Linked DNA regions of Lepisosteus oculatus. The protein of the gene in region 1 interacts with the protein of each later gene in a pairwise test. Links are inferred from orthologs where the notes say so. Each region holds a gene or a part of one and is shown in the gene's direction. Other genes may lie near its edges.

Evidence for each region.
Region 2: the proteins of ndor1 (region 1) and ciapin1 interact in binary tests that used the Homo sapiens proteins (3 or more experiments, as listed by UniProt). The two-hybrid records come from large-scale screens. The link is inferred for Lepisosteus oculatus from reciprocal best matches to the Homo sapiens genes NDOR1 and CIAPIN1.

Annotation. Positions count from the first base shown.
Region 1 is NC_090719.1:2,813,678-2,822,119, reverse strand, and holds the start of ndor1 (NADPH-dependent diflavin oxidoreductase 1), read left to right. Parts: upstream 1-5,123; 5' UTR 5,124-5,187; coding exon 5,188-5,365; intron 5,366-5,465; coding exon 5,466-5,655; intron 5,656-5,860; coding exon of another isoform or gene 5,861-6,023; intron 6,024-7,441; coding exon 7,442-7,519; intron 7,520-7,647; coding exon of another isoform or gene 7,648-7,763; intron 7,764-8,116; coding exon of another isoform or gene 8,117-8,119; exon of another isoform or gene 8,120-8,263; intron 8,264-8,442. Other genes in the region: slc2a8 (solute carrier family 2, facilitated glucose transporter member 8), read right to left, coding at 225-370, 1,158-1,340, 2,019-2,127, 3,093-3,242, 3,867-4,078, 4,395-4,494, 5,861-6,023, 7,648-7,763 and 1 more. UniProt on the Homo sapiens protein: NADPH-dependent reductase which is a central component of the cytosolic iron-sulfur (Fe-S) protein assembly (CIA) machinery.
Region 2 is NC_090715.1:12,268,558-12,277,031, forward strand, and holds the start of ciapin1 (anamorsin), read left to right. Parts: upstream 1-4,926; 5' UTR 4,927-5,007; coding exon 5,008-5,255; exon of another isoform or gene 5,256-5,275; intron 5,276-5,341; coding exon 5,342-5,411; intron 5,412-7,003; coding exon 7,004-7,169; intron 7,170-7,974; coding exon 7,975-8,124; intron 8,125-8,474. Other genes in the region: coq9 (ubiquinone biosynthesis protein COQ9, mitochondrial), read right to left, coding at 276-311, 836-889, 1,859-2,014, 2,242-2,346, 2,487-2,571, 3,107-3,219. UniProt on the Homo sapiens protein: Component of the cytosolic iron-sulfur (Fe-S) protein assembly (CIA) machinery required for the maturation of extramitochondrial Fe-S proteins.

The DNA of each region.
Region 1 (8,442 bases):
CAAGGCACTGCTGCCGTCCCTTGAGTGAGCCATCTCTTCATCTTAAGGCTACAGAACCCAGGAGGAGAGCTGGCCCAGTGAGCCGCTGTGATTCTGGTCTGGACCGCGCCCGTTACGTGTACCGACTCGGGCTGCTCCCAGATTTCCCCAACGTTTTGGCCCCACGAAAGCCCCCTTGTCGCACAACGCCCGAACCCCGGGTGTCGCTGGCCCCCCCCGCTCACCATGAGGTTGTGGAACTCCTTGGTCACCAGGAAGGCCGAGGTCCAGTTGGTCAGCACGCAGGCCCCGCTGGCCAGCCCCCGGGCTTTCGCCGGGAAGATCTCCGACATCACCAGCCAGGGGATGGGGCCCCAGCCCAGGGCGAAACCTGGGGCACGGGGGAGAAACGCAGAAGGTGAAGGAGAGGTGGGGCGGTACAGCAGCTCCCGGCCCCGGGTTCTATTCAGCTATTCTAGTGTGCCGTCTGTGTGGAGTTTGCACGTTCTTTCCACTTCATGTAGGTTTCCTCCCACAGGCCAGAGACGCGCTGCCTTCTGGGACAACTGGCCCCGGCGCGAGTGTCTGTGTGTGCCCCGCGATAGACTGGCGTCCCATCCAGGGCGTGCCCTGCCTCGCGCCCGGTGCTTGCTGGGATAGATTCCGACTGCCCCGCGATCCTGAATTGGAATAAGCGGTTTGAAGAAGGGGGGGCGTCCCAACGAACGGGGTCACCAGCGCCCCCAAGCAGGAACTACTCCAGCCATCCGGCTGGCAAGGTTGGGTTCTGAACGCGTCGTGGGGGCCGTGGCGTTTGGACGCTCGCGCCTCCTGACGCTACGCAGTAGGCGTTCGGATCTGCCCGCAGAGCTACTGCGTTTCAGTGGCCGCAACGTGAAAAATAATGACGGAGGAATAGCCCGGTCCTTTTTCGACCCTCTTGTTTTTAAATGAAAAATCATAGAATACACCCGAGTGCAGGTCACAATTCTCTAAACTGGGGTGTGTGAGAAGGAGGCGGGGTGAGTGCGAGGCATCCCATAATGCACTGTGGGGCTCAGGGTGACCATGGGTGGGAGCAGCGTGGGCACAGTCCCGTTCCCGGATTTTCTCTGCGAACGCGAATCTTGAGAAAAAAGAACCCTGGTTTTGGAGGCCAAGTCTTCCTGAGGCTGTACCTGCGATGAAGAGCCCCATGCTGGCCAGGGCCAGCCAGGCCAGGCTGCCCTCAGAGGGGGGCAGCGCAGAGCTCTGGGCGGCCAGGAGGGGGACCCCGCTCAGAGAGGAGCCGTTGGTGGGCGCGGCGCTGGTGATCTTGAAGTACGCCCCAAACACGGCCGTGCTGACCGCCATGGCCAACCCTGCGGACACACGGTGGGGGAGAAGGACAGCCAGCATTACCATCACCAGCCCGGGGGGGGGGCGCTCAGTCCTGGGCAATGCAGGGGTACCGGGGGTTCAAGTCTCCAGCACAGATATTGCTGTGGACATTGTACCCCACATGAGCCAGGTACTGCACCCCGAATGCTCCAGTCAGCCCCACGTGTATACAGGAATATCGGCATTACTGACAATGGACTAGCGCCCTCTACAGGGCAAGACTTGGAACTCTGCTTAATACAACACAAAGACAATTTGTTAATTGGATCTTCCCTGCAAGCCCAGTACAATACCAATCACACACTGTGCGTAACAGTGTAACCCCAGTGTCCTGGCCAGATTCCCCCCTGGCCTTTACCAGTCATGGCCTCCTAATAACCCCCCTCTCTGCTCTCCTCCCTCTGAGAGCTGGTGTGTGGGGAGCGGACTGAGGCACTCTGGCTGCCATCGCATCATCAAGGTGGGGGGGGGTTACACATTGGTGGTGACAGTGGGATTGCCCATTCCCTGTAAAGTGCTTTGAGTGGAGTATCTAGAAAAGCGTGGTGTAAGTGTAAGGGTATAATTACGATTAATTATTTAACTGCTGGTGCTTTGCAGGATCAATGTAACAGTCTGCGTTAAAAGTCAGAGACCGCATCGGCCCCGGAGAGACTCACCCGAGAGGACGAGCAGGACTTTCCTCCCGGCCCGGTCCATGATGAGCGCCGCCAGGGCCGTGAAGACCACCTGGATGGCAGCCACGATCACCGTGGCGACGCTGCTGGCCTTTTGAAACAAACAAAAAAAAACAACCCGCCGTTAAGCTCATGGCACCGATCCCTGGAATCCGGCCTGCGGATCGATCCGGCGGGGCTCCCTCGGCCGTCTACAGCCTTGGGAGATGCCTCCCCCCACCTCCCGGTCCTCCAGCCAGAGCAGGGAGGGGAGGGGGGGGGTGTTCCCGCACATGGCCGGCCCGAAAGTCGAGTACGGAGCTCGAGAAATATGTCCTTCCCCATCGAAGGAGCGGCACCCGGCATGCAACGTACTGCACCACGGTCGCCGGTCAGCACTCCGTAACCATCCGGGTTCTTCCCCCCCCAGGACACCGCAGTGGGGAAACTGCGGACAGCGGAGCGATATTTGAGTACGTTGGGCTGCTGTTCCCAACACCAGCCTGGACACGGCACCCTGAGGGGATGCCTATGGAATTTACAGGCGGTCACGGACTACTCCGGAAACACGGGGACGTCTGCGAACAAGGATGCTGGGTTCTGGCACCAGACTTGAGGTTTACTCATTAACAGTGACACAGGCTCTCCCTCGTTAACCTTCTCCTGGCTGACTTCAGTTCGTTTCTTGAGCTGAAGATGAGCGTCCAAGCAAAGGAACGGAAATATCGAGGGAACTGGTAAAACGTTGACAACGCCCACGGGGGATGTCCACCGCACTCTGCCGCACCCGGCCAACGCGGAAGGGAAAACGGGAGGCGTCAGCGGAGCTCGTTCGGGCGCGGCCACGCCATCTCCCTCCTCGTGCGTCGCAGGGACCTCAGCCACCTGGGCTGGGGGGGGGTCTCCTTTAGCTCACTCGGCTGGTTCCCTGTGGCGTCACGCCGGGAGACCCGGGTTCGCGCCCCAGGTGTTGCGGGACGAACTGGCGGGGTGGGGTGGAGGGGCGAGGGCGACACGAGGAGCCCAGACTGTGTCTGTGGCGTGACGGCAAAGGGGGGGAGGGCGAGGGGCAGCTACCTGGAAGTTTGCTTCTTCGAAAATGGTCTCGGCGTAGAACATGATGGCGTTGATCCCCGTGAGCTGCTGGAACAACATCAGCAGGACCCCGATGAGCAGGGGCTTGTAGATGGCAGGGCTCCTCAGGTCTCCCAGCTTGAGGCTGTCGCCCTGCGACACCCGAGGGGGTGGGAGGGAGGGAAACGCGTTAAACAGCAAATGGGGCCCAGACAGACGGCATGCAAACAGCGTGGCGCAACTCAGCGCCGCTCTCCGCTGCACTGAGCGTGCACCCCGAGGCCGGGACAGGCTGAACAGGTGTAAGAGGGGCCAGCAGGGGGCGCTCACCCTGCAGTCTGCGTGGGCCCTAATGCCCCAGTACAGTGACGGGGACACTATACTTGTCCTTCGGATGAGATGTAAAACTGAGGTTTTGACTCTCTATGGTTATTAGAAATCCCAGGGCGTTTCTCAAAAAGAGTAGGGGTGTCCTGGCCAAATTTCCCCCTGGCCTTTACCAATCATGGCCTCCTCATAATCCCCGTCTCTGAACTGGCTTCATCACTCTGCTCACATCCCCACTGAGAGCTGGTGTGGGGGGAGCGTACTGGCGCCTCATCCAGGTGGGGCTGCACATTGGTGGCGGCAGTGGGATTCCCCATGACCTGTAAATCGCTTTGAGTGGAGTGTCCAGAAAAGTGCCATATACAGCAAGTGTGAGGGATTAATAATGATAATAATATCATAACTTCATCTTTACAGTCTTGGCAAGGTGCCCCCCCCCCCCCGACTCACCTGCTCCCGCGCCGCGGCCTCGATCTGCACGCACTCCCACTCGTGCGGCACGGCCGGCCCCCTCAGGAAGCGCAGGGCCGCCAGCGCCTCGTACTCCCTCCCCTGGGCCAGCAGGAAGCGCGGCGTCTCGGGCATGAAGCACATGAGCACCAGCATCAGCGCCGGCGGCACCGAGCACGCCACCGCCAGCCAGCGCCACTCCAGCACCAGACCTGGGCGGGGAGAGACGCAACCGGGTCGCTCGTTACCACGCCACTCCCCGCCTCGTGGATCGGATCGGGACCAGAGGGGGGGGCAACGACAGCCAGGTAAACCCCACCAACAGCACAGAGTGATCCCGTCTCTCCGTTCAGCCGCGAGGTGAAAACCAAACTCCGGGATGGCACGGGTGCGAACAAGGAGTCTGAGACTCAAGAGTCTTGTGAGAACACGGTTCGTACCCCAGTCGCAAGGCACAGAGAGCGGAAAGGAGGACAGGAAGCGCACCACGGGGGGGAACAAAGAAAACGGACAATCCGAACGGTTTACCTGCGATGTACGCTCCCATGATGCCCGTCACCACCATGAGCTGAACGCAGGATCCCAGCATGCCCCGCACCCGGGCGTGAGCCGTCTCCGCGATGTACAACTGGGGGGGCAGACCGTGCGATCAGTGAAGCAGACGTAGCGGCAGCACTCAGAATTCAAGCGTCGTTAAAGGTTTCGAAACTTCCCGTTGAGCTGACAAACCCCCCCACCCCCACCCCCAGGCCATACCCTGGGCCTCTGTGCAGAGCGCTAGGAGCCCGCGGGGCAGAGAACGACACTTCACCCGATATTTAATTCAACTTTCATGCCGCCCGCCCGGTAACCGCGGCAAGGCCCAGGGATGCTGGGAAACCCGCTGCTCGGGTTTGTCCGCTGGCCTCCCCCGGCAACTGTTTCCAACGGAGCCGTTTTTCCCTGCAATCGGACGCGTTCAACTCTCCTGAAACCCAAACTCGACCTCTTTGGAGGGAAAAAGAGCAGCCCCCCCCCTCCCTTCTGGCAAAACTATTAAACAGACCCCTTTTATTACTATAATGTTATCTCTGCAGAGGCACTACAAACGAACAACTGACCCCCTTATTAATATGCATTAATAAGGAATTTACATACGAGAACAAAGTGGTTTTTCATATCAGACAAGACATAAGTCATTGGCCTCATTAAGACTGCTAATATGTTCTGCGTCACTGCGTTTACTCTCATTATCCCTGCTGCTGCTTTACATACAGGCACTGCTAAGGACGTCACCCCGCTGGCCAGTCCGGTCAGGACCCGTCCGAGGTACAGCATCCAGATGTTCTGCGCGGAGATGATGATGTTGAAGCCGAGGATGAAGGGGACGGCGCAGACCATGAGGCTCAGCTTCCTCCCGATCCTCTCCACCACCCAGCCGCCCAGCACCCCCCCCGCCGCCGCCCCTAGAGTGACCACGGACTGGGGACGCACACGGGGAGACACGGACAGGCGCGGAGGTCAGAGGTCAGAGGTCGAAGGTCCAGGCGGCAGGAGTTTTTAACCCTTTCCGGCCTGAATTTTCGTCTTGGTGTAAAAAACTGGCGGTGTGTGTTTCAGGGTTAAAGAAAACGAGTCGTCCGTCACTCTGTACTCCAGTGTTACCCAGAACCCAGAAAAAACTCTGCCCCGACGCACCCCACTTTCAAATCCGCCACCCGCCCAGGAATCCCAGGAAGAGCTGGTGTTTTCCCAGCACTGCCTTCGGCAAACACAGCTCAGCGCCTGGGGACGCGTCTGCTTTCGGAAGGTAAGACTCAATAATAATAATAATAATAATAATAATAATAATAATAATAATTTTTAACTTATAAAGCACCTTTCCAAAGCTCGAGGACGCTTTGCAAACGCTTCTCTGTCCTGTGCAAGGGAGACGCACTGATCGGCCTTATTACAGATCAATTTTCGATCCCCTGCCCCTTAAATCGAGCGCACCCAGAAAAAGAAAGCCCTACCCCGAACCAGGACGCCTCCTCGTCGTCCAGCTGCAGGCGGGGGTCCCCGGCCCTCTTGAGGCTGGGGATGGCGGGGGAGCTGTAGCCCAGCACGAAGCCGAAACTGAGGGGCCCGAGCACGGCGGCGAAGGTGGCCAGGAACAGGTTCCCATTCTGGACCTGACTGGAAAACACAGCATCGGCTCAGGGGGGCACAGCAGGATTTGAACACGCAGGTTTTCTCCACAGAGGGGGGGGTTGGATCAGTCACGGGGCTTGGCGTTGGGGAGGGGGGGGGCATTAATAAAATATAACTGCTTACACTTAGATAGCGCTTTTCTGGACTCTCCACTCAAAGAGCTTTACAGGTAATGGGGGATCCCACTACCGCCACCAGTGTGCAGCCCCACCTGGATGATGTGCCAGTCCGCTCCCCAAACACCAGCTCTCAGTGGGGAGGAGAACAGAGTGATGGAGCCAGTTCAGAGAGGGGGGTTATTAGGAGGCCGTGACTGGTAAAGGCCAGGGGGAAATTTGGCCAGGACACTGGGGTCAGTGTAGGTCATTCTTTCAAACCAAAGACCTAGTCGCTCTGCTCCGGACCGCTTCCAGAGCAGCGCTGCCTTTTCTGGACTGCGGTGATCAAAATCCTATCAACGCACAACATTCTAAACTGACGGGTTATGTAGAGTTTTAACAATACGCTTGTCGATCCAGGTTCTACCGTTTTAACTGCGCTGTATGTCCTGACTGCGCCTTCGCTATTGCAGCGCGGGAGGTGACGAGCGTGGCTCACGCACGTCTGAGACGGCATCCTGTCTCACCGGTTACACAAGCACCGCTACGTTAGCGGCCGTTAGCGGGCAAAGAGAACGCTACAGCGCACAGCAGCAGACAAAGGACAATCAACTGTTTTCCTGAACTTCAAGGGAAACACAGGCAAAGGTTCTGAACGCCTCTTTATGCAGTTAAATGAGTCAGGGAATTTATTAATGATTGACGAGAGTAACACATTGTACGTGCACACCCCAGATGCTGTAATACTGCTTTTTTTGTTTTGTTTTCCCAAGTCATCTGTTTGGTCTGGATGCCAAGTAAGGATAATTTATTTTAAAGAAATGAAAACAAGACCCGGAGCAATCAATTGCTCATTAAGGGAGGGGGGAGAAGGGGAAAAAGAAATATGAAAAAAGACCTGAATAAGCTTGGCTTCCCCCCCACGTTTTTCCCGACAAAGATTTTTGGTGCAGCCTACTCCAGGACCTCAAACACGACCCCTAATGGTCAAAGCGTCTTTGTGGGACAGTGTAGGTGAACTATCACATGTGAATCACATGACTACAGCATTTCTCTGCGGGGGGGGCTGCCACTGACCTAAATACCGTCAGGTTTTAGTTCAAGCTACATACTTGAGCTCTAAATTACCATCGACAGGGGTGACGCCAAGCGCCCACCTGACAAGAGGAGCGTCTTTCGCCAGCCTGCAAATTTAGAGGACCGCGCACCGGCTTGGGGGGGGGATCGACATCGTGTTTTCGGTTTATCGGCACCCACAACAGCGCCGATGGCCGATGATAACCTCTTCACTTCTGTATTTTACAGCTCGCCCCATAAAGCAGAACTGGCAAGTCAGGGTTTCGATCCTCTCGCCTCACTGTCGACGAGAATTCACCCCCCGAGGTATAAACCGCTATACCGGACTATCTCACCCAAGGGGCAAGCTGAGCAAACGCCGGCCACCCTTAACGCCGGGGCATTTTCATTTTGAACTGTAATAAACGAGGCACCCCCCAGATGCTCGTACTTACTCGAGGTAGCCCTCCCGGGTGCTGTCCGCCTCGGACAGAGGCGGCGAGTTCACGCCTCCGCGCCCGGCCCCCAGCAGCGCCTCCTGTTCCTCGGACTGCTCCATCCTTCGGGACGCCTTCGATACAAAAAACAAAATACAGACAACGAATGAACCGGGGCCTCCCAACACGCCTTCCCGGCAACGGGTTTGGCAGAAACGCGGCGACCCGAGCTCCTGGGCTTTGCGGTAGCCCAAGGCTGTCCCGGCGACCGGCGCAGATGCGCGTCGTGCCGTGCCGTGCCAAAACCGTGCCGTGCTTACTACCATTAAGGGTCGACGGAGCTAGCCAACGTCGTTTTCCCGTGGCGTGCCAAGCAAGCACGCCGTGTGCGGCAACAACAACAACAACAACATCAGAGCATTGAAGAAGAGCTCGGAGTGCTTCTCCAGGTGTCAACTACGAGGAGACAGGGCAGGCGACAGATTACCATTCACCAGCCGCAGACGTGCCCAGGACGTTTAGCTAATTTCATTGTGGGCTGTTTGCCTTCTCTCCTCCTCCTGCTGCTGCTGCGAACTCGGGTGCAGACAGCCTGGGGCGCAAGCGGGGCTTCTCGTCAGCTGACGAAGCTCTGGTGAGCGAGCGAGGCAAACAAAGCCGGAAACAGAGTCGGGAATCCCTGCTGGGGAAGCGGTGCATTCTGGAACTTGTAGTTGTAGTGTGGGGCGAGTATGAATTGCAGCACGGTCCTTTTTCCGCGCGGAAACGTAGGGAAATAGAATTGTTGAATCCCCGTGAGGGCACTGTTAGCTT
Region 2 (8,474 bases), on another chromosome or scaffold:
ACCTTTATGTTTCAGTCCATCTCGAAGTGGACTGACTGTTGAGGGTGGTGAGGCAGCGTATATGGTAATACTGCGGATTTTAAGACCTTGTCAGAGGTGCACTAGGAGAGAGAAGGGAGTGGGCTTGTGTGGTGAGGAGGGGGCCTGTGATGATCAGCAGGAGCGCAGGAGTGTGTTGTGCTGGTTCCTGGACAGGGGAGAGGACAGTCGTCTGTCAGTGTGTGCACGGGCTGAGCTGGGGAGAGGGATGAGCCGTTCTGATGGGCAGGACCAAATCACCGCCGCTGGTTCATCCCCGAAAGGTTCTTCAGCTGCAAAACAACAGAAATGGAAAAGGATAAAGTGTCCCAGGTCCAGTCTGGTTCTCTTTGTCCTCTTCAAACTCAGTCTGTGCAATGAAATACAAATCTTCTTTCAACTAAAAAATAGCAGCCAAAATGAACATGGATCTGGAATGAAGAGTGAAAAACACATGCTAAGCTGCATTAATTTAGCTTGCATTTGTTTCACTTCATGTAAAATTCTCTGTTCTGACCACTTAACTGAGATTTGGAAATTTCCAAATTAATTAATTAAGGCTAAATTAAATCAAAGAAAGAAAACAAAAGCAAAAAAACTAAAATGGTGATTGGTCTAAATTAAATCAATTAAAGACTGCAAATATCAAACCCTGTAAGTGCTTTTTGTTTTATACATATTTCCTTCCTTCTCCCAAAGCAAACTGGTTAAATGGTGTGATCCTTACACACACTGCTTGGAGTGAGAGTCCAAAAAATAGCCATCTGATACTAGGAAAATTGCTGAGATGAACCAGTGAGCAAGAGAAACAACTTACAGTGATGGCAGCTCCCATAATCCCCTGTACCACAGCTTCCCCAGTGGATTTAACCTGTAAAGACATAGGCCGACCATCAGCAAAGTACACAAAGCAAACCTGTGTAGTGATATCTACTGTACCATATGTACAGCCACGTAGCCATGCTGCAAACTGAACAGTGAATAAAGACCAAACTAAGAGGACAAATAATTCCAATGTTTTCATAGCAACACATTAGTTACAAAAAGATTTGTCAGAGGGCATTCTGGAGAGGTCAGTCTTTCAAACTTGGAGCATGTGTTACCTAAAACACTGTTAAATGAACAAATGAGAAATTCACAAAACAGTACCACTGAGATCCAGACTCCAGCAGGGTTCCTGCTCTCAGCACCTCTAATGCTACAGAACTGCAAGGTAAAATAGCCAAGCTCATTGCCCAGATCCTGCAGTCTGAAGCTTGGTCATTACTGGGAAAATTTGATTGCCATGAGAGTGTTGTGCATGATTCCAGAGTATCACAAGTTCTGGAGGTTCTGCTTTTCATCTGACCTGTGCTCTCAGCTTAGAACACGAGAAAGGTTACAAACAAGACTAGGACATTTGGTTCATGCTGCCCATTTGGTGGTCAGCAGTTAATTGATCCAAAGATCTCATCCTAGCGTTTCTTTAAAGAAACCTGGGTATCAGTTGCACCAGTGTGGATGGGTGTCTCGTTCCAGGCTTCCACATCACTCTGGGTAAAGAACTGCCTGCTGGTCTCAATTTTAAATGCACTTCCACCTAGTTTCCACCTGCGTGTCCTCTGGTTCGTGTTTCACTGTTCATTCAGCTTCTAAGCACAAGAACAAACCTATTCAATCATCCGCAGGGATGTTTCCCAGTTCTTTAACACCTGAGGAGTTAAAGACCAACTAAAAAAGCTAGTTGCTTATGGGTCTCTGCATCAGGTGAAGAATTCTTCAGAGCTGGGGAACAATACCAGGGAGGCGGTCAGAGCACATGTGGTCAAAAAGATGTGTGTTTTCCCTCAGGGATCAGCACCTGCTGGGCAGTGTTGGCCATGTTCATCACGTCTTTAATGCGGTTGTCCAAGAAGGTCCAGGTGTCCTGGAAGTCGGGAGAGGAATCCTGAACCATCACCAGCTCTGTGGTGTTATAGATGCCGGTCAGGGCTGCACGTCGTGTGTACCAGTTCAGCTGTGGGCACACAATCACACCACTTACCAGACTGGCACAGAAGAACACTACAAAAAGTTACAGATTCATCTAGGTTGTCTGGTTCACCCTTCTCATTTAGTTGTCAAAAGCAGTGTGTAGTGGGGATGCTAAAATTATAGCATTATTAATCACCTAATCGTGCTACAGCAGTGAGAGATCATGGCCATGTTTGGAAACATGCTGCAGAATGACGTGACCGCACTCACATCAGTAGAGCGGTCCCCGGCGTAGTACCAGATGTCATCCACCAGGGTGGACAGGTGCTTCAGGCTCTCAGGGATGTTCTGGGGCAGCAGCAGGATGCTCATGGCCTGGCGACGGGGAGGGAAAAAGAATACCATTTTTCAGGAGAACAGCTACACCTCCCGTTCCAAAAAAACTCCCCCCTCGTCCTAGGACTGCCGTCAGCCATGAAATCAGAAGCTCCTTTCCCCAGTACACAACACAGTACCTGCGGCCAGGTTTCGATGTATGGGATGAGCATGCGTAGTCTCATTTCCACTGCTTCTCTCAGAAACTCAGCAGGCTTCTTTGACCTGACACAAAAACACACCCACACTTTTACCCACACAAAGACCACAAAGAAGCTGCACACTGGGTCAGTTGCAACATGTTGTTGAAGAACAGCTGATTGGGGACAAACATGTGTTCAATATTTGCATTCAGGAGGAGAGTCCCTTTGTCCTTTCACTCTGTGTGTTATTCTTGAATTTTATGACTGTGTGTTTAAGAGATAACAGACAAGACTATCCCTAGCATTAAATGATTGTCTCAAACAGAGAAGATCCACAGTTGTCAGAACAATAAATGGGTATACAAGGCCCTGCCACTTTGAAACAAGCAGTTTTCACATGGGTAATAGGTATGAAACTCCAAGCACCAAAAAGTGAGCAATGTCAAAAAGCCGCAGCATCTGAGAAAAAAAAAGACCATTTCCTCATTTCTGGAAATAGGTTATTACTCCCTTCCAGAACAACTAGGCACACTGCAAGAGTGCAGCAGCCACTGTCCCGATCACACAGCACACCACAAACACCCGCAGGCTTGGACTGGGTGGGGGGGGTGACTCACTCGGCCTGGCCCAGCTGGACCTGCTTGTGCTGCTCCGCCAGACTGTCGGCCAGGCGGGTGTTACACTGAGTGATGAAGTGCAGGACTAGGTCTCCGGCGCCGTTGGTGAACATCCCTGCAGCTGCTGCGGACAGACCCAGAGCCTGACAGACCAAGAGACAGAACGCAATGGTCAGTGATGAGTCTATCATCCTCATCCTCTGACTACAGCAAGCTGCTCTCTGTAACTGAAGAAATGGGACAACAGTTTCTTTCATTTATGTCTTATTCCCTAAACCTTCTTTTAATACTATTATTAATATTTCATTATTAAGTGTTAAAGAAAACTCCAAACCTACAATAACATCTGTCATACTATAACCAATAAAGATAGATGCATGCAATGTTTTCTTCCAAGAAATGCATTATAAAATGCGTGATTAAAATAATGTTTCACGGAATGCCTCCATGTGAGTGGTTTGCATTAGCACCTCGAGTGTTTGCTCAAGCTCTGTGGAAGCCCTCTCACGGGCCGGCGCATGTGCACACATGCTCAAGGGCACACATACATGCGCGCTCCGGGATCACCTGTGCTCCCGCCGCGATCGCGTCCACTGACCAACCGTGCTGCGGCACAAAGTCGAGTGCGGCCGCGAGGATGCGGCTCTGCAGCTGCTCCTCCGTCTCGTAATCCTCCCCCTGCTCGCCGCTCTGGTCTGCATAGCTGCACAGACACACACGAAGGCAGTGGGAGTGAGGGTCTGCCGCTGCACAGAACCACCACCTGCTACACTAACGGCACCTGAGCAGTCCCCAGCCCATAAATATAAAGGAAAATGTAGGGGCTCAAAAAGAAATGGCTGAAGATATCCCATTTGCAATGGCAAAGTGGGAACCTATCCACTAACAATCAACATATGTTAACACGTGAGCCAGCTACACGCTATCCATATGGAATATTCCTTTCACAACAACATCCAAATCCAGTACAGATAAGAGAGCCCAGACACAGCCAGTCCAGGCTGGGAGCAGACCTGGTGTTAGTCTGTGAGGACTCGGAGCCAGGTGACGCCTGGTAGTGCTGGTGATAAGAGGAGGAAGAGGCTGTCTGCTCCTGCTTGGAGTCCTCCTGCAATCTCAGCAGCGCAGCTCTGTGGAAACGCCTCTTCACATGGGGACACTGGCTTCTGTGTGCTAGGTAGGCAAGGAGAGAAGAATTGCACAGGATTTTTAAATGCTGGTGCCTTTGTGAAGCCTCTAGGAGAGCAAGCTGAAGGTAAGGGGGTTTAAACTTGGCTTCTCTTAAAACGAGCATTTTCTCCGAGCATCCTGGAGCGGAGGTGTTTTCGGTTGTTTGCGTCAGGCGACCGGAGATGGTATTGTTCTAACTGCAAACATTTCCAGCTCTACGTTTCATGACATCACTGTCTTTACAGGTCATTGACTGACGTACTTTATACATTTCCTTGACTGCCCCCACGCTAAGCTTGTAAACAAAGTGTTGTCACAAAGGCGCAACTCGCATTTAGCGATAGGTAGGCATAGAAACTACGGGAACGTAAAAAGAACTAAAACAATATACATTTGGCGTTCGCCGTAAGAAGAAATCAAAACAATATACGCGGGGTTCGTCTGTTTAACTTTCCAGTTGTTTTAGTTACACAACAAGTATGTAACTACGAGTCGTCACGGAACAAATGTATAACGCACTGCTACATTAATATATCTTACACTGATCAGGATTTATCAATTGATCAGTTTACACGTATATGTGTTATATGCGCGCATTAAAACAAAAACAATTGTTTCATTAAAACTCTGAATCCATAGGAACAACAATGCAGACTGTCCTTCACGATCACCTTGCTAGTCTCAGATTCAGACCCAGGTTCCAGAGGGGTCACCAGACTACCAGCAGGAACATGTTGCCCGTCCCGCACCCCAGATCGGAGGCTATAACCCCAGTCCCAGCCCGCCGGATTCTCCCTCTCTCACCAGTTCGCAAGGCCCACAAAACCCTCCCGGCTCTCCAACCTCTGAGCAGCGCCGCCATATCCCACCACAACTGCCGCACGTCATTCGCTTGCGACTCTTTCAGTCTCCGGCCGCCTCTCGGTAAAGACGTCAGCGATCTTCCCGGCTTCGGATCGGCAGAAGAAGAGAGAGCCGAGTAAGCGAAGTGTTGGCTAGGTTTGTTACAAAAACCGGTCTTTATCTTACCGTGTTTCAGTAAGATTAATATAATACTCTGCGCAGGTTCACTCATAAAACATCGTTGGACGAGAGTTGTATGTCAGTTCATAACCAAGGACAACTGAAGATTCAGGTAAGTGGAAAGGTCGTGTGATATATCGAATTCATTAGAATGGTTTGAACTACGATTTGTTTGCTGGGGGCCGCTACATGTCCAGAGACATTTTATGATTAGTGTAGATCATCACGTTTGGTCCGAACACAGTTTCTTCAGCTATGATTCTTTGATGATAAGCATCGTGTTTCTGTGAAATGAGAAAGGGAATTCTGCTCTGATACAGCTCACTCAGGATAAGTGCAGCTAAAATCAACATTGGTTGAAAGGCATGCTACAGATTACAAATAAATCTATTTTGTAGCTCTACCGCACACGATGGGAGTTTTGGGACGTGACACAACCTGAATAAGCACGTGATCTGTGCGTTAAGGGCTTTGTCTTGAGTGTACTTGTACAGCCGGAATCTGCTTTTCTCTCTATTTTTTTACCGAACGTGAAATGTTACTGCTTAACTAGACTCCCTGTAGTTTTAATCGCTCAAATGCCGGCGGGATGGGGTTCGGAAGGGACATTTAATTGGTGCCCCCGCTCAGATTCGGATTTGTAAGGCGATTGGAGTGGGTTGCAGTAAAAGCAACTGCGTCTGGAGAAGCTTGTTTACATGCTGCGATCTCAGTCCCGACGTCGACACTGTCAGCCAGCTTCTTTACAAACGCCTGAGGAAAACAGATAAAAACTGAAACCAATAGGAACGTCTCTCGAATCACCCTGAAGCGCTGACTCACTTCTGCACCTGTCCTCTAATTATCCAGGCTGACGGGGAGGTTTTTCAAAGCATAATACGGTCTCAAAATATTCTTCTCGTGTGGGAAATTAAATTTGAAGGTTAAATGACAACAGACAATGAATTACTGTCTTTTGATAATTTTGGAATTTTATAAGAATTTAGAGAGTTAAGATCTCGGCACTGCAGGAAAAAAATCAATTTTGAATGTTGTCCTGTTAGTTTCACGCTGGATGTCTTAATTTGGGCCCTTTCGGTTTTCACTGGCATCTCTACACCAGTGTGGCCAGTTGACTGGGCCTGTATTCGACATCTGAAATCGACAAGAAGCTTGTGAAACTTAAGCTCAGCTGCACGACGGTCTGATCCAAATACAAACCCAAGTATCGTAAAATCTGATGCAGGCGTGATTGAGATGCACAATGGAAGGTTTTGAAAACACCCTTTTTTAATTATCAGCTATAAATTGACCAGGGTTAACTGGAAAACTGGCTACCAATTACTGAAGGCAATTACAGCTAGCAGTTGTGTAGGGTTTACCATGGCCCTAAGATTCTGGACACAGGCTCATATTAGAGCTCACTGATGTAAATACTTAAATATAATTTTTTTAACAATTCAGTTTATTATTCTAATTTAATTCTGAGCAGAAGACCTCAGGACTTATGAGCTCTAGCACCCTTCATTTTCAGGTCCTGGATAGTCATGCTAGTTGCTCAAGACTAAAGTTTTGAGTTCTGTGAATCTGTCTGTTTAGGGCAGTCCGTTAGGGCTGGGAATTTCCTTCTGTGGACCTAACAGCATTGCTTGTCTTGTGAGTTTGAAACCTTCGTCCGGGGACTGGAGGTCTGAGACTGAGCAGTCTTTTCGGCTGTGCCTGCAGGACAGAGGTATGGCAGAGCTGGGCGTGCAGGCAGGGCAGAGCCTGCTGCTGATGTGGGGTCACCCATCCAGCCCCACGGCAGTGAAGGAGCAGGTGGAGAGCCTGCAGAAAGCAGTGGGATCCCAGGGCAAGGTGGCAATAGAAAACATTGACAGACTACGGCTGTGTGAGTATTACTTCACAAACCCATGTTAACTTTAAAAAGGCTCAGTAGCTCTGGGCACACTATAGGAGCTGTACCACATAGAGGCAGTACAAGCAGTTGATTCATTTCTGCATTTGGAAGCCTTTTGAAGAATCATGGTGTGAAACCTGTTTTTGTTTTTTGAAGAGTGTAGCAGCATTTTGTACCTGTTGCTACTGTTCAGAGAGCCGATGTATTTAGTAATGCCCCCATATGTGGGAATTTTCCACTTGAGGTCCCTTGACATACCCCACTTTCCTGCCTGGGGTATTGTCAGCCTAATTGTTTAAAAATCTGTCTTGGGCATTTCGGAATGCAAAATCCAGGAGTCGCTGTGTTGGTGTCAGGTGCTTTTGAGCTTGGTGTTGTGTCACCTGTTTATGACCTGATTGTCAAGACTTTTCGTTTTTGTATGGCTACATTTCAAAATGAAATTATCCAACATAATTCTAGTTAATTCATAATTCCTAGGGCATTTAATTCTAATACTAATGCCTGAATCACGTATTATAATATGTCCCCATGTCTAAAAAAGATAGCAACTACTCATTTAAATTTTGTATCCATAGTCCTGAAACAAACAGATTTTTTCATTTTTTTGTGATTTTCTGTTCAGTAAAAATATATATGTTTGTTTTGAAAATCAATGAAAGTTGTCCATAATTACTGCATCGTCCATGAAGGTGAGCTTTATACCCACTGGCCACATCATTTAGCCAAATGAATGACGTTCTGACATAGCTGGACTGGAATCATAGAATCTCCTGATCTTCTCCTGTCCCTGCAGCCTCTCACCCGGAGTCCAGCTTCCACTGGGTCCTGTCCGGCCTGCTGCCGGACAGCACTGTCATCCACAGCTCAGAGACCTTGGCGGAGATCGGCCGAGTGCTGAAGCCAGGCGGAAATGTCATCCTGGAGGAGCCTGTCTCGGCCTCAGGTGAGTCTCCAGGCAACCAGGGCCTGTGTGTCCCAGCTTATTTCCCACTGCAGGGCCACTCCAATCACTCACCATAAAGTCAATCCCGGACTGATGTGGATGGAAATGTTCCCTCATCCCTCAAGTCCCCAAGAAAATTTTCCATGTTTTGTGAATTGTGACAGTATTTTAAGAAAAGTTACTGATTTATATATTGTAAGCAAAAATAAGTCAGGTATTACAAATAACAAATAGCTTCTATGTTTTACTCCCTTTGACATAAAGTACCTTTGCTCTCCTTTTGAGGTTAATTGTTATGTTTTTTTTCCCAGAAAGAGGAAAAAAAGTTGTTGTTAAAATAGCTGTTTGGG